Linked DNA regions of Drosophila melanogaster. Changing the gene in region 2 together with the main gene of any one other region gives a genetic interaction. Each region holds a gene or a part of one and is shown on either strand. Other genes may lie near its edges. The genes, in order: seq and ham.

Evidence for each region.
Region 1: of ham (region 2) and seq, changing one suppresses a phenotype caused by changing the other (phenotypic suppression), as found in Drosophila melanogaster (one study listed by BioGRID).

What each region holds. Positions count from the first base shown.
Region 1 is NT_033778.4:13,182,735-13,191,602, reverse strand, and holds the start of seq (sequoia), read left to right. Parts: upstream 1-1,516; 5' UTR 1,517-2,042; intron 2,043-2,349; exon of another isoform or gene 2,350-2,515; intron 2,516-3,694; exon of another isoform or gene 3,695-3,777; coding exon of another isoform or gene 3,778-4,209; intron 4,210-4,283; coding exon of another isoform or gene 4,284-4,622; intron 4,623-4,680; coding exon of another isoform or gene 4,681-5,003; intron 5,004-5,070; coding exon of another isoform or gene 5,071-5,330; intron 5,331-5,447; coding exon of another isoform or gene 5,448-5,866; exon of another isoform or gene 5,867-6,069; intron 6,070-6,427; coding exon of another isoform or gene 6,428-6,459; coding exon 6,460-6,826; intron 6,827-8,368; coding exon 8,369-8,868. Other genes in the region: Kdm4B (lysine demethylase 4B), read left to right, coding at 3,778-4,209, 4,284-4,622, 4,681-5,003, 5,071-5,330, 5,448-5,819, 6,428-6,826.
Region 2 is NT_033779.5:18,778,038-18,787,136, forward strand, and holds the start of ham (hamlet), read right to left. Parts: upstream 4,564-9,099; 5' UTR 4,268-4,563; coding exon 4,240-4,267; intron 2,295-4,239; coding exon 1,768-2,294; intron 1-1,767.

The DNA.
Region 1 (8,868 bases), on a different chromosome or scaffold from region 2:
CTATCTCTCTCCTGCTCTCTCTCTGTGGGTTATGCCTGAGTTGCTTTGGACAAGTTTTGAGGACAGGATCCTTGGACACCCCGCCACTTTTTGTTTCTTTCGTTTCAAGTCCTGCCGAGCAGTGTGACCGTTCTTTTGTGCTCTGGTCACGCTTTGATCCTGCCGTTAGCCGCTCCCCCAAGCTCCATTTTCCCATAGGCGTCGCCGGGCTAATGACATGTTGTAAATTATACTACCACGGGGCATTCCTTTCACCGTTTCAAGCTGCTGTAATTACTCAGCCCGGTTTCCTTTTTTTGTTCCTCTCCTTCACTCCCCGTCCTGTTTTATTATTTTGCGTCGGTTTTTGTATGGGTTTTCTGCACACAGGATGCAAGAAACCTTGTTATCGAAACGCTATCACATAATTGCTCGATGCAGTTGCAGATGTGCTTATTTGTATTCGCTAAGCGCATATGCCATTAAATTGAACATTATAGGGGATTTACTAAATTATGCTTTTGCGCTTGGGGGAAATTAATGTCCTTAACAGTTGCAACAATATGACATTTTCTTATTAACGAAATTATTGAGAAATATAGTTGAGGGCGTTATGATTTAAAAGATATAATGCGATCGGCTTGGAAATTATAATTCTATTTAAATGGTACTAATTCTGCAAACGGAGTTCACAGGATCAAGCTTAAATGTGTAATACATTTAAAATGGAAAATCTATCGAAAACACTATATAAAAAGCATTAGATTGAAATTGGCTAGCATAAAAGTAAACAAACAATTATTCCAAACGAGCCATTGCTCTGAACGCTATTTGTTGGTTTTGCAATTATTATACAAATATGCAATTATTAAGTACGAGACACACGAAGCCGTCTCAAGTGAGAGAGTCCTTGCGACCCGTCTCAAGTGGATCCTCAACCTCTAGCCTCTGTATCTGTCGTTTACCTACAAACGATCACTGGCGATCCGGGATCAGTAAAGTCCTAGATTAGATCTTCGCCAAAATCCGAAATCCGTGCCAGGACAATGCATAATGAGGATTAAGTCCTTTGCGATTTCTCTGACTGCTTACTGAGATGCAGAGAAAGAGAGAGAATGTGCGAATGGATTCACGATTCGCGATGGCGAATGCATTTTTCCTTTCGCCACATTTGCTTTTCGCAATGAAACTAAAGAGGAGGAAAAAGGCATTGTTCGATCCACGAATGAATAGAGGAAAAAGGAGGAGCGATTAAAACTGCCAGTTTTCCACACGGCTTGCATTTCCCTATCCACAATTATCCTGTCAAACTTGTTTGCGCCGTCTCCCTCTTGCTCTACACCAATTTTCCTTTCGCATTATGCTTTGACCAGAGCATTCGCATTAAAAGGACAACGCTCTTGTGCGGCGCGACTGTGTGTGCGTGAGCGTGTCTGTGTTGCGTGCTTGCTGTGTGTGTGAGTGCGAGTGCGAGTGCGAGCGAAGAGCGAGTTCTTTCGACGCCTGCGTCGCCATCGTCCTGGCATCGAACTGGCGTTCAGTCGACGCTTGCCACTCAGACCGCTCAGACATGTCGCGCCCGTCGTGAGTGCCAGTTAGCCATCCACATTAATATACATATATATAAATTAACATCCTCGAAGAGAGAGAGCAGCAGCCATCAAGTCGAAGACTGTGTAAAACGCAAAACAACGACGCCATCAGATGTTGCAGGATAACATAAAATAATACCAAAGCTAAATCATTCTACAAGAATTGCAAAACCCAGAAAATAGTGCTCAAGTGTATCGTATAAAACATCAAATTGTGCAAATTAGTTACAGTTAGTTAAAACGCCAGCAGAAGTTTCATATGCAAATACACAAAAAATAATGTGCAATAAACTACAAATCACTTCAAACAAAGGCAACGCAGCAGCATCCAAAACGTTAGTCACATCCAGTTGGAGTTGCTCATATAGTCATAAAAGTACTTTTGACATTTTGTTGGGATTTACGCATGGAGAACACCGAATAAACTAGAGAAGCAGAACTAAAAAAAAAACCCATCAAAGCACATCACAAGTGAGTTCCAAATTTCGTCCTTTCACAAACACACTCACATATTCGTAAACACACATACACACATGCATACGCACTCGCTGCATTGCGACTCGCCCATGTCGAATCTCCTCTGTAGCGAGTATATCCTGCCCGCTCACTCGCTCTTCCCACCATATTTGCTCTCTCCTTGTTAACTAGCATATAGTTTTGCGCACTCGTCAGCTCCCCCCTCTCAGTTATCCCGTTACCCCTCCCCTTCCCCAACATCGTCGGCTCTCCGCTCTCGTTCGGTTTTGGTCTTCTCGCTCTCTGAAATTCTCGGGTGGTGGTACAGTTTTCTACGTGGTCGAAAAATTGCGTAAATTTTCATCTAGTGCTCTGGGATGTCTCGCACAGCGTTGTCCTCGTTATCGTTATCCTTGCTGTTCCTCTGGCCTGCAGAGCTTTCAGTCTGCTTGTACGGAAAATAGGAAAAACAAACGGAAAAACAATTGGTATTGGTATTGACTGGGAAAAAGATGTCGCCGGATTTGTGTCATTTGCTTATTGGGCGTTTTCAATCCCTATAAATGGCTTGCCGCGGGAATAACGGTTCGTCATGGGGCTCAATAATTAATTATCCCCTTCATCTTGATTTATTGTGTTTTTTTTTGGGAGGCTTATCGTATACAGAAATACACACAGAGAAATTTTTCAATCACGCATGACTTGTACTTTTGTTTTATTTTACGTTTTACACTCATCAATCATTTTATTTGGGATCTATAAAATGTAAACAAAATAGTTTTGCGAACTAGTCTTAAATAAATTTTAGTTCAATAATTTTGTATGCTAATTGTAACTATTAATTAAGTGATAGTGTGAAGACAAAGCGTCAATATTAGTAAAATTATTTTTTAAGTTATCCTAATCCTGCGGGGATCGTTTAAATATATTTCGTATGTTTACTTACATAGGAGTTTTAATTTTAATTAGTTTTTTAAATTTCGAATACCTGAATTTTACAACTTTTTGGCAAAGTTGTTTACATTTATCACAATCATCGATATATTATCAGCATAATTCAATTGTAATTTATAGCATAACTAAATCATTTAATATTTAATCGAAATAATTTTGTGGTAAGAAATGAATCGAATTTACCATTTTCAGGCAACATACATAATTTCCATATTACCGCTTATTCCTTTAACTCCCAATTTTTCAGCCGGTTGTGCATGAAATCTGATATACTTATTTAATTTACAACATTTCCTCGTAGTTAGTAAGGTTATCAAACGAACGATCATTGCACTTTTTATGGGTTCCTATGGGTTATTGCGGGTCCGGCTGGCCCATGAGGAAAACCACTCGAATGAAAGGGGCGGGGGAAACGGCAACTGCATATCCTGCCAGCCTCTATTCTCCTGCCAGTCGTCCTGCCTGCCTGCCTGCTGTTGTAGCTGCCGCGCCCATTAAAAAAAAAAAAGAAAACCTCGAAAAGTTGCAGCTGTTCCCTCAGCGCTCCTTCTCTGTTTGTTTTGTGACTGCCAGCCAGAATGCCGATCCCAAGCGATCCGATCGCTGAGCGCTTAGCGATGGGGCAGGCAGACGGGCTGATCATGAATGGCATCTGCCCGGGATTAATGGGCCGTGCACGGGAGTACGGAGTTTTAATGCTGCTTCTATCACAGTTCCAGATCGAAGCACCCTAGCTGTGAAAGAAGTGTCCGACAACAGGTCGGAATTGAAAAAAAAGAGAAAAACTGAGACGAGAATGAAAATGTCAGAGGTGCCACGCATCAAGGTCTTCCGACCCACCTGGGAGGAGTTCAAGGACTTTCCCAAGTACGTGGCCTACATGGAGTCCCAGGGTGCCCACAAAGCCGGTTTGGCCAAGGTGGTGCCTCCGCCGGAATGGGTGCCCCGTCGCAGTGGGTACGCCGATCTCGATGCTCTAAATGTCACAATTCCGGCGCCCATTTGCCAGGTGGTAACCGGCAAACAGGGATACTACCAGCAGATTAACATCCAGAAAAAGCCACTCACAGTTAAGCAGTTTAGCGAGTTGGCCAGCACCGAGCGTTACGCCACACCCAAACACTTTGACTTTGAGGATCTGGAGCGCAAATACTGGAAGAACATAACATATGTGGCGCCCATTTATGGGGCAGATGTCAGCGGAAGTATCACAGACACAGACCAGGATGTAAGTTCGTTAGGGTTAGGGTTTAGGTTTGGGCATTAGCTGATGATTCGTTGCCTTTGCCTTTGCCGTTGCAGAGCTGGAACATCAACCGGCTGGGCACAATTCTTGACTATGTCAACAAGGATTATAACATCCAGATAGACGGCGTGAACACAGCCTACTTGTACTTTGGCATGTGGAAGACGACCTTTGCATGGCACACGGAGGACATGGATCTCTATTCCATCAATTACTTACACTTTGGGGCGCCAAAGACGTGGTATGTGGTGCCGCCGGAGTGTGGTCGCAAATTGGAGAAGGTGGCCAACCAGTACTTTCCGGCCAGTTACAAGAATTGCAACGCATATTTGCGCCACAAGATGACGTTGATTTCACCACAGATTCTCAAGCAACATGACGTGCCCGTCAGTAAGGTGCGTTTATCGGTAGTAATCCTGTCCATAGTGGCCGTACTAAATCCGGCTCTTGCAGATCACGCAGGAGGCGGGCGAGATCATGATCACATTTCCGTTCGGCTATCATGCCGGCTTCAATCACGGCTTTAACTGTGCCGAGTCCACCAACTTTGCCATGGAGCGCTGGATCGAGTACGGCAAGCGGGCGGTGCAGTGCACCTGCAGCAACGATATGGTCAAGATCTCGATGGACACATTTGTCAAGCGCTTCCAAAGCGATCGCTACGATCTGTGGATGGAGGGGCGTGACGTGGGGCGGCATCCGGAGGATCCGCCAAACGCGGTGCTCAGTGCAGCACCCCTGCCACCACATCTCGATGTCTTGCTGTGTGATAAAAAGTAGGTTTCCTTGCGCTACTTGTGGGGCTACCAGCGAGTCTTATTCCTATCTCCTGCTCCTCCGCAGAATGAAAAAGCAATGCAATCCTACCAAGGCCAAGAGTTTCAAAGAGCGTAATCCCGATCTGGACCTGGATGAAATCCAGCAGAATCCCAACGTCCCCGACGACGTCAAGGCCATGCTGAAGGAGAGCGTGCTGACGCTGGACACGGGCGATCTGGCCACGGATGAGGCTGATTTTCCCAACGAGGATGCCATGAGTCTACAGAGTCCGGCGAATCTGAAGACCAAGCAGGAGCTGCTTGAGTACATTGACGACGGCACAGGTGTGTGGGCCGGCAGGTGCCCTTCAAAACGATCATCTTCCCCTTTCCCCAGCTTAACTATAATATGTTTCCTTTCTCGCATCTGTTCTTTGTCTTCCCCTTTTTGCCTGTTGACAGAAGATGATGATGAGGAGGAGGACTTCAAGCGGCGCAAGCAGAAGCGGCGCTATGATGCCGACTATGACGACGATTGGCTGGCGTCCAAGCGCAAGACTAACTCGCGAAACAATCGCGGCCGTAGTCCGCGCACCAAGGACGACCGTTCCATATCGCCGGCCTCCTCCACCTCCTCGACGTCGAGGGGTGCAAGGCGTGGCAAGGCCAGTGGCACGCCCCGAAAGACTCCTGCGCGGCGGAAAAAGGACTCAATCACCACGTCTCCGGCGGTTAGTTCTGCAGCAACTGCCGTAAAAACACCGACATCCGCCGTAGTCGCTGGAACAACATCAATAGCCACAACCACAACACCACCAGCAGATGGCGGAGGAGGTGAGAGCAGCAGCTTAGGCAGCCACTGCACCACTGCATCCCCATAATCACAGCTTCACCTATCCACCTCCAAGCCATCCAAATTCTCTAACCCAATGCCCCAATGTCTCTTTTTTAGCAAAAATCATTCCAAATTTCCCAGTAGTTTTTTGTTCTAACCAAATTGACAATGTTTCAAGCAGTTTCACATGTATCGTTCATCGTTTTTGTTTTGCGATTAATGTACAAATAAATCGTTCTATCTAATTGTAAGAGTGCGCCAGAGAAATATACGATCACGCTTTTAAGTCTATGCTAAAAACTAACCGAAAACCAAAACTGTTTTACTAAACCGAATTCAAGGTGTTGGTGCTGTCTGGGCCGAATCCGTTCCTCTTGTTTTGCCGCCCCCAGAATCCGCTTCACTTGCTCTTTCGCTTTGACTACACATCCTCATTCCACCCAAATCGCATTGCCTCCTATCCAGAAAACCCCCCGAGTCCACATGTGTGTATGTGTGTGTATCTGTGTGTTTACACCAACAGTAACCGTATCAACCGCATTTATTCACAAACAATTGAAATCCTTGCCTGATCAAGTACTAAACTTTATCGATTGACGTTTTTCAGATGCCAAAAAGGAGCGACAGTCGCTGCAGTTTATGCAACAATCGCGTAAATTTGAGGGCAAGATACCAAAACTAAGTCAAACGAGTGCAGCAACAGGAGGAGCAACGGCAGCCGCAGAAGCATCCACATCCAAGTCTAGTCAAGGGCAGCAGCAACAGATTGTCTACGTCAACATGTTGCCCGCGGCCAATACCCTGAATGGCATTCCACAGCAGCAGCAGCAGCAACAATATGCGAGCACGGATGGAAATGTCTATCAGCTGCAAAATGAAATACTCTGTGATGCAAATGGACATGCCGTGACTGCCGCCACGGCCTCATATCAAACTACGGCCAGTAGTCCGCAGCAGCAGCAACAGCAGCAGCAGCAGCAACAGAATGTTGCAACTAGTGTTGCCGGTAAGTGTACAACTTGAATTTGTTCGCTTTTACGTTAATTAATTTGTTTGTTGGTTGTAGTCTTTGTGTATGGTTTAACCTAACCCTCTTGTGTACTCGTATTTGGTGTTTAAGTTGAAGCTATTACCACTAACCGCTCTCATTGTAAATACAAACGCACTCACACAATTATGATTTTGACCGTCAACCGAATTGGCCAAATTTGAATCCAATCAATTGTAAATGTTGTCGCACATCCATGTCATCCAATCGATATCATCCTGACTTTCCAAATTCAAACTGCATTTTGAGTTTTCAACTTTTTGTGCCAAAATTCAAATGCGCCACTAAGGGAGAACGTTTCGAATGAGAGCAAACATTGAATTTGACTTCCATTTGTGTTCCGTGTTCTTGTCACACCTTTGAACCTCCCAAAAAATGAACAAAATACAAAAGAATATAAACGAAATAAAAAGGCAATGAAATCTTCAATTAACCATTACCGACCTATCTCAATAAATCGAACTCCAATCGCATCGCCCAATTAATAACAACAACCGCTTTCAACTGCTCCACACACTACATGCTTGTCTTTAATTTGCGACACCATTTCCCAGGTCTGTGTCCTGTCTCTACTCGAATTGTCGAGAGCATTGGAAAAATCAAATAAATAAGTGCACAATTCATTTCAACCGAGGGAGGGAGCTCCGTACAAAACAGTAACGCGTCGAAAAAGGCTCAAAAACAATTGTCGATCACGTATTATTTTACTTTATTAGCTAGTTTAAGGTTTTGCAGTTCAAACTTTGGCGCCCAAGCAGCAGTGAGTTCAATGAGAGCATCAGTGCTGCCCATGCGCGCGCTGACTCTTGGCAGCACTTGCGCGCCAAATTTTGAAAATAGAGTTTATAATTTATAGATTTGCGTTTATGATTTAGTTACTTTTAGCAACGACACTTTCCCGTCTTTTCTATCTCTCACTTATTGTTTCCCACTCTTTGGACACAACACAAACACAATCCGTTGCCAGCTCCTCCTGCTCCGCCCCAAGCGATGGAGGAGGAGGAGGAGTCTACACAAAGTTGGCACCAGTTTCATCCTCTCCTCTGTCCACCTGTTACCACCACCTCAGTTACCGAAGTCGATTATTTATTTAACTTTATTTAGTACGTATTGAGTTGCGAGTACTGTACCAGAGTTACGAATTACGATTGCTGTAATGTAGATCTAAGTAAACACAAATTCTACCGACAAACAAAAACCAATTCACTCACTTTCTATCTATATGTCCTGTATTGCCTTATCCAATCGATTTGATAAAGAGGCCCGCCCGTAAATGCAGCAGATGCACTGCATCTGTGGCATTTGCCTTTTTTGCTGTTGGCCGCAAGTAGATTTCATTTTGCACAACATTTGTTTTATGCGAACCTGATTTGAGTGAATTGTTGATTGATTTCGATTTCAATTACGAATTGATTTATTGATTTATGCAAATATTACATTCAAACACATCTTTTATGAACCAAACCAAATATGTATTTTCAAAATATATATAAACAAAAGACAATGTGGTCACAACTATTAGTTCGTCCTCCATCCTGCACACGAACGCCAACACCAACGGAGTGGACACATTGGCCGCCACACAGCAACAACAACAACAACAGCAGCAGCAGCAGCAGCAACAACAGCAACAGCACTACCACTATATCACCACCACCGGCGAGGATGGACAAACCCCGACCACCATAGTGTTCGAGAACTACAACGGCGGAATGCCAGCGGTCAGTTCTGCCGCACCAACGCCCGTTCCCGTGTCGCAGGCCAACGCACCCGCGACCACGACCACCACTGCCCTGGTCAACACGGACGGCACGATCATCGAGTTCGACGGGAGCACGTACGAGGAGTATCATGTCCTCAAAAGCGAGCCCGGCAGCAGCGATTGCCTGAGCAACGGCAGCAGTGCCGTGGCCGCCGACATAATCAAGTACGATCCCCAGCACGGTGTCGTCGGCGACGAGGAGGACGACGATGAGAACGGCATGCTGCATGTGAAGTAC
Region 2 (9,099 bases):
CAATCTCTCATTTCAAAGGGGAAGGCATAGTTAATTTATTAAATCAATATTAAGCATCAAACCCAAAGAATTTATAATACAGAAAATAAGTAAGTTATCTGTTTGCAAATTAATATCTAAGCACATAAAGACTTCTGAAGCAGTACTGTGGCAAATTTATGACAATTCAGTGTAAGATATTTTAAGTTTCCTTATGGTTTCATATTCAAGATTATTCAGGCAATCAGTACTGATCACCGGAATATCTTTATATGACATTTCCCCAGTTTTCCTTGGTTATTCAAGACAGCAAAGGAAACTGCAATCCGATGCAGCCACTAAAAAAATGATCAGATCATCTGGATATGTACAAATACACGGCCAGAAATATCCGTAACCGTTTGGCAAACAGTTCCAGTTGCTGGTTTTGTCTGTCGATAATCCCCGGACAGACATCACACATGTCCTTGCCTATTCATAACTTTATTAAAAAGGAGGCCACCACGCTCACAGCAGAAAAACACGAAAACGTCAATGGGCAGGAAAAATATTTACGCGCCAGAGATAATCTCAAAGTGTTGGGTTCGGTTCGGTTAGGTTCGGCTGGCAAAACTCGCTTCGAATTGCCAGATCAGATCCAGATCCTCCAGAAGGATCGGACGGGAAACGGTGGCAGATACAGATACAGATACGGCCAATGTATCTGTCAAAACGGAAACGTGAACGATAAAAGTGCGCTTGATTTGAGGATCATCCAGGAATAAAGGCCAGAAGGGATCCGATCCGATCCGAGTTGTGTTATTTTTGCAATTTTCGCTCGAGTGGCAGGAACAATATTTTCGTACCAATACCTGGGCCGAGTAGGTAAAAAGAGGGATCTCCTTGTGCGAATTGTCAACAGGACGAGGCGCGATAATTTGATTGGATTGTCTCTGTGTTTCGGTAGAGAAAAGTGGTAGCGGAGGGAGGAGGAAAAGTGTCAGTTGACTGACTGACTGACTGACAACCGATCGAAGGGTTCAGACTGGGATCGGACGATCCGTATACCCTAATTGGAATCATCAGCCGGCCCCGACTTAAGCCTCATTTGGGGTGCACTTTGTGGATTTTCGTCCTGGTTTTCCACTCCGGCGGAAGGTAAATTAGCTCTGGCCGGGGATTAGGCACATTTGACTGACAATTGATACCCTCGAGGTAGAGCTCTAATCAAATCTCTTTCCAATCGTTTGATTTTCCCTGCGAAAACCACCCAAAAATTGGGATGACTCAATTCGCTTGCAATTTTCGCACATCAAAATTGGTACGGTTCTGATGGGATTAAATTTCCCGACCAGCGAAAAACTAATATCGGAAATTTGAGATTGCCAAAATGCGCACACATGTGAAAGGCTTAAGGTCCGTTTGGTGATAAATGTGTGCTATAAAAGTTTTTTGGGATTTTCAGGCATGGGATTTGTGCTTCTGATTGCATGGGAAAATAATTGTAATTGCAACTAACGACAATTTTGGGTAGGCATTGTTGAGTTCTACCGATTTTTGAATTAATTAGGTTAGTGAACATCAAGCAACTAAAATATATTTAAATCATCGTTAGAAAGTAGTTTAATAAGTTATGCAAAGCATTACAAAATATCAGATCCAACAATCAACTTTAGACTACAAGTTTTCTATCTATCGTTCGATTCTAAATATTCAATGTATTTTCTACTCCTTCCCCACAGTTATATTTACTTCTCAGAACTTAAAAAATTATTTATCTCTTTTTCAAGGATTGTCAAAACTACTTACCTTCCAGGCCAGCTGAGGATCGTTGGGTTGGTGGCTGAGCTTCATGGGAAAGGGTCCGTAGCGAGTGCCCCTCTGGAGCGGCGTCTTGGCGTAGACGCCACCACTATCACGGATGTCCAGCTCACAGACTGGTTCGCGCCTACGCACCCACTCCTGCAGGATGTGCTCCGCCTGGGCGCGGTCCTTGAAGAAGGCATCCATGCCGTCGACGGAGGCGGCTGCGGCGGAGGAGGATTCCACGGACAGCGGCAACGTGGGAGGCGGTGGCTGTTGTCGCTGGTTCTGCTGGTGGAAATGATTGGGATGGTGAAGTAGCTCCTGATCCTGTATATCAAGATGATCCCGCCTCGGCGGAGATCCTTCCACGGGCTCCTGCTGCGGTAAGTGATGGCGGGCGGCGAATGAATCCTCGATTTGTTCAGACAGTGGATTGAAGCCCTGACTCCTGGCACTCAGATCCAGGTGATGGAGGTGATGATGGTGGCGCGCTACACTTGCACTTGGATCGAAGTCGTCGCCTCCGGAGCCTGTTAACAATCGAAGCGGATAAGAAATAGACAGCGATTAGAAATGACTTTTCCGACCGCTGGCAAGCACTCAAAGCACTAATCCTAATCAGTTGTTGGCTGTCAATTCACTCCCAAAATAAAATAGATAAAGCCAATGACTCTTCACGTCGAGATGACAATCGTTGCCCGGTTTTATATATAAAGGTGTCTTTGGGGATTTTGCAATGCACGGCTGGGACCGTCTATCACTGCCCACTCTATGTGGCTCCTATCTTCCCGGCAAGACAGGTGTCTCTACCCTTTCCACAGACAGGGCGTATCAGTTACCTCGTCTGTTTTCCTGTCTAATCCAAGCAGGCTGAGCAAATAAAAACTGGATAAATATCGACGGGAAATATTTAAACTATTTTGTTGACACAATAATTCCGACTTAAGTTGCTTAGATTTGCTGCTTATCTTCACATTTAATTGATGTGACTGGATTGACTTTTGCCGATTGAATAGATAAAATAAACTTCACTAGACGACTTGATGAGTCAGCTTAGTGACAGTAGAATCAGGGGTAATTTGATTTTTACCCTTAGAACTCCCATAATATTTTGCACTATTTCAGATGGGTGGTGATGACATTGTGAGTGCATTCCCATGGTGTCATTTGAAAAAAATAGCACCCACTTCTTTAAGATACCGATAATCGGTGGGCTCGGAACATAAGTATACACGGACAAATTACCCGGCGATTATTGATATTTGAGCAACTACTAGTTGTTGTTTGCTGTTTGGTTTCTTGTCTTGTCCATCCGCCTTGTTCGAACACTTGAAACTAAATCGTAATTTGAGCTGTTAGACAAAATATGACAGCGCTTCGAAGATAACGAGCATACGAATGGTAACAGTAACTACGGAGTAACAGTAACATTACCCCGAAACAGATAAGTATCGGCCATATAAGTAGACCGCAAACCAATGGCTCGCAAACAATGGCCAAACACAAAGCAAACTACGTTTGGAGTTCTCGACCCGAAACAACCTGCTGCATTTCGCACATCCTGCGGCACACTCTGTTTGCACAGTATCCTGGCACTTCGATCGCGAACCCCGACGGCTTCACACCATTTAGCGAAATCTTTTTGAAGTGGCCTACACTTCAAAGACCGCCCTCGCAACCACTCATCTCGCGTTTATCCTCGGCTCTATTTGACAACCCAATTGTTAATCACTCTGGTTTTCTTTAGTTTTCGCTTTTACCCAAGCGCAAGTGTTTTTTCAACGGGACCTTCGGCTAATTTGTGTTTTAGGTAATCACATTTGGGTTTGGTCTGCTGATAAAACTGGCCATAAACGCTTGATTGCCAGTGTGTGGGGGCTTGATAAGTGGGGATCGATTTTAATGGGTTTACTTAGGGCTTACTTCGGTTTTAGTTTGGTCATTAAAAGTTGCGGCAAGTTTAGTAAGGAAACTAGATTAAAAGATGTTTTTTGTGGCCCGAGATATAGAGCTCTTAAAAAATGTTTTCGCCTAATTTTTTTCACTACTTCAATTATTTTCAATGGTATATGCCAATTTATTAACAGGCAATAAGTATTTTAGCTGGGTTGATATAATTTGTTCAAATTATATTTGAATGGCAAGCCTTCAATTTCCTGTAAGTCTAAAAAAATTCGTAGTTTATTTATAAACGAATGTTTTAATTAGGGCCAAGACAATAGGAGATAAAACCACGACACCACTTATTTTAAGCACTTGATTTGTCACAATTTTTGTCATTGATGTTTTAGGGCTAAAAAACAATCGATCAACTAATGGGTGGATTTGTTCAAACTGATTCACTTGGCTTCTGTTTAAGTTAGGGCCGTTGTAAACTGTTTTCAAAGTAACTGATTCAGTTCAGGGAACTGCGATTCCCTGTAAGCCGCAGTGCGAGATACCAACTTTTGTTTATTAACACGGCGTGGAACCAACCTGATATGACATATCGATCGAACAGCATGATTCCGCTTTCAAACGTTACTTGTAATTATCACAATAAACAGATCGCTGGCAAATATTTTCATAACACGCGATGTGACATTTTCTGCGCGGCCAACACTGCGTATGCTTGATGTTGCTTTATGTAGGTACCGATATTGCTACGATTTTAACGGATATTTATTTATTTGATGGGTGTCGTCTCTATCTGCCGGTTGTCTTCGCAAGACTGCTGCCAGCCAGCCAGCCAGGAAAAGAAGCGGCGATAACGCAAAAAATATAAATGCAAAGAAACAAGCAGAAACAGAATTGTGTGGCAGCGACGTCGACGTCGACGGCGACCGAGAGTGCAAACGGCGGCAGCGAAAAGCGAGTGTGATTTTCCGATTCCGATTGCCAGCACGCTCAGCAACGAACTGAAACTGAATTGTCTGGAGGCGATGAGGATTCTCGGATTCTCGGATTGCCGGACTCGGATTCTCGGTTTGAATGGGAATTTTTCGGGCCGGTTGGCTGGTTGGCTATCCATTCGCCATGGTGGTTGTTTCCGCTCCTCTCTCCCAACCGAAAATCTCATCCCATCTCCCAGAGGATCGCCCTGATGTCCTGGCTATCTTTCGTAAAGCATAACCAAAAGGATAGGGGATGAAACTGGAGAGCAACATCGGTGGAGAGAGGGAGAGAGAAAGAGAGAGAGAGTGCAGCATCTGTATCTTTAACAGTGCGTTTATATATGTATCTCCAGCCTGCGCTCACACACTCTCTCTCTCTCGGATTCTGTTCCTCCTTCTCTTTCGCGGCGAGAACAGCTCTCTTTCTCGCCCCTTGAAATCTGTGTCAGTTTGCAGTCATTATTATTATCTGAAACTTGGTGATTCTGATTCGAATCCTTAGTGCCAGTGGCCACAGAAAGGATAACAGAGGGAGATGGCCATCAACGAGACAGGGACAGAGAATGAGCAAGAGAGAGAGAGTGCGATGGCCTTATTTACCCCTCGATTTTTCCTATCAGAATACGGCTATGTATCTTTGAGATACACAGACAGCCAGCTCGAGTTGAGGGAGGAGTCAGGATAATAGGGCGGGCACATCTTCGCATTCATTATGCACTCGACTACATGTAGACTGCGCTTTATATATCTCTGCATATCTATATACCGAAATGGAGGCAGAGCAGACTCCGATGCAGCTGTAGATACAGATACAGAACCAGATACAGATACAGAGATGGTGTTGCTCTCTTTTTCTGGCTGCCGCTAGTGTCTCTGTCTCTGTTGCGCTCTTCTGTTTGTTTGTTTGCGGTTGGCCCAGACCAGACACCACCCACGGCCCCCTCTTCTGATTTGCCACCCCCCACCCCCTTCTCCCCCACGAGAAGACAAAGTGGCAAGTTGCGGTTGCCTTATCCTTAGCATCCATTTCGTTTTGGTTTTCGAGGGGGACTCGGCTTTTGGTTTGGGGATTGTGGCTTCGTTAGCTCAGTGGGCTTTTTCACAACCACCACCCGCCTTGAATTTCCCACCTCTCTTGAATTTTCCCCCAAAATTCAACCTGCGTCTGTTCCAAAGCGTGCGCAATAAGCACACACATTAGGCTAATGGCTGTGTGTGGGTGTAGACTGCCCTGCCGCTTAAGTGCGTGTGTGTGTGTTTATGGCTTCCTGCCAACTGTATAGGTGTGTATGGAAGTGTGTGTGTGTGTGTGTGTTGGCCGGACAGAGAAAACTCACGGCTATAATTGAAAGCGACGACGACTTTTAGCCTGCGGCAGAAAAGGCAAAGTGTGCCGGGCTGATTTCCTCGACTTTCTCCACTTTTTCCCCTCACTCTTCCTTATGGTTGCCCTTTTTCCCTGCTCAAACAACAACAATCCTGGTTTTTTTGGTGAAGGTGGGGGTGACAAGTACACGGGCTTTTTGGTCTTTTGTTTGCAACTTAATTTCGTATCTGTCGTTAAACTTTTTCATGTTTTGGTGGAATTTTGTTGGGCTTTGGCTTAGGCTAAGTGGATGGGAAGTTATGCTGATGAGGGGGAATAGATGACTGGCTATTAGGTGGAACTTAGGAGGTCGCCTTTTAATCAGAGGATTATTATTTTCCTTTAAGACTATGCCTCATATTATCATGAATTGGGTAATCTAAATATATTATTGCTCAACCATTGCGTCAGCGAAGATATTCCCGCACTCTAAGATAGTTAGTATCACCTATGTATTGTATATAAGGAATATTGTTTTTTTCCATGAGATAAGTAATAGGGAATTATTGTGAAAAATTAAAGATTTTACATTTTCTTTACTCTAATCCAATTTACATAAAATATGAATATGTGAATATGAATTGAAAAAGAAACACAACTTATTTATCAATTTGATTTGTCTTGAGTATTAAAAGTGTTATAAATGCAACAGTTTATCTTTTGTATGCGAGCGTCGAAATCATATCAAAACATGGTATGATTATGAGTCTAATTATTATATTTTTATACAAGATAAATATGAATTATTACAACATTTTCTCTTAATTGGATTTTTTTCCACATTTCGCCAAAAAAATACAATATATATGAAGCATAATTGTTTACGAGTGCAAGATACAAAAAAATAAAAAATGGTTTAATTCCGCGTGTTTCCTGTTAGGCCAAAAAAAGATAGCTTATTCTTGAACGATTCCATTGTAATGAGTTCATAAATTTCTTCACTTGTTATTTATTTGCATGATCACTCGAGGGTCAGAAATATGGGCTTTCGCGTTTCACAGCGAAGAGGTGCTAAAAACGGTGCCCATAAAATACACAAATTTCTATCCACATCGTTGTCTGTTTGCGTTTGTCAAACAGCAGCACTCAATTAGGAGCTCACAACATACGGGTGAAATATTGGTGGAATGTCATCGCCGGAAAAGGGGCGCTTAAGGGTTGAAACGGATGGTATCCTGACTTTCAGCTCTGACTCCACTGCTAATAGCGTTAAATTAAAACAACATAATCGACAACGAGTCACCCCTTCCACGCCGCTGTCACATAATTTAACACACGCGAGGACCCGAAAAGATAGAAAAAAGGATGTGTCTTTATTTGCATTTCGCTCTGGTTTCGTTTGCTCTGCGCTTTGTCGGCGGATTGTTCCGCATATGATAGCCCATAATTCATTAGCCAACACGCCTCGGAAAAAAGTCAATAATTCTACGAGGGGCGGAGCCGTGTAAATGCATAACCAGGAATAATCAGGTCAGATCAGACAGTCAGTAAAAGGTGATAAAATTTCAATTAAAGGATTGCAGTGCATTGTGGTGGAAGAGAAGGAATATATATTTATGGCTTTTTCCTCTGTTAACGGATGGAATAAATTAAAGAAAGAGATACAAATATATCTGACTAATAATTTATTTATCTGAACATTTGAAAACTCATTTTTATATAATAACCCAAAAATTTGTTTTGAATAAAATGCGAAAGATAAAAAAGCACATTCGCAAACTGGTGATAATAGCAAAGACGTGGACACTTCACTACCACTAAAGAAAGCTTAAAATTGCAGCTGAAATTCAAATTTTAACGCGCCAAAAATGAAGCGAAATATGCTTTTCAGATCGACTGAATATCCCGAGGCTGGGACACTTCCTTTCTGGCAAAAAGGACTCCAAGCGAGTTCCATTCAGAGTCAGTGACTCCGGTTTGTCTCTGTGGAAGTCCTGTCGACTGTAATTAACTCAGCTGGATGGCTGATCTTTGACTCCGACTGTCTGAGCCAGGACAAAGGACTTGCCCCGGCTTTTGTGAATGGCTTTTACAAGCTGCGGAGTGCAGGGAAATAAAGTTCTTGAAGGAATCGGAATCAAAAGTCGTCTCGGTCCACATATCGCTACCATTGTTCGGATCTCGAGTGGAGGACCGAGTGTGTAGGAATGCCCTTCTTTTGGTATAAAACAAGAGTTGAGTGGTACCGACTTCGATGTGGAACGTCTACGATAGCGGAAAGAATACTAGTTCGATTGCAAACAAATTGCAAAATTCAGTTGTAGGTAAATTTTTTTAAATAAATGAAGTGTGTGTTTAAATCAATGTTTTCTCAGCATCAAATTAAACATATTTCGGGTATATAAAGAATAATTTTTAGCTATTAATATTTATATTATTCGCTATTTACTACTTATATGTATAATTTGCAAAATGCCATCACGTTAGTTTACCCTCCACTGTGCGAATTTGTATATCAATCTGCGCTGATCCTGTAAGCCTGGCAACTTCAACTGTGTGTGTGTGTGTCTCATTGACAGGACAGGACTCACTGCTATTGCCATAGCGATTCCCGTTCGGATGCCGATGCCGATGCCTATTCCGATTCTGATTCTGATTGCTATTGCTATTGCAAGGACCGCTGTTCCATTGTTCTGCCTTCGAGGCGGAGCGGAAGTCGCTCTTCTCTGCCGAAAAGGACCCCAAGGAAAAAGTGAAGCAGGGCAAGTTCTCAAGTCAAAATGCGCGAGACAGACGAGCGGGGTCAGGACTATAATTATGGCAAGGTCAAACCGTTACGAGTGCCGTTGAAGATCGCGTCTGTGCAGAAGGAGGAGGGGGAGAGGGAGGCGTGAACTAAGAAGATCGTAACTTAATACCAGCCAAAGCTGCAAACTCTGGAATCTGGATCAAGATTCGAACCCATCCCTGCAGCACGCGCCCTCGAATCGAGTTTACCCAAGTGCAATTTGCAGTGTGCAACGGAAATGGTAGAAGAGGAGCAGATACCCTCTGCTTCCTGTCTTGGCACACTTTCCACTAAAATCACATCTGCCAGGATCTCGATTGCAGCAGGGTGGTTCAGGTACAACCGGTGATCAGACACACTGGGGATCT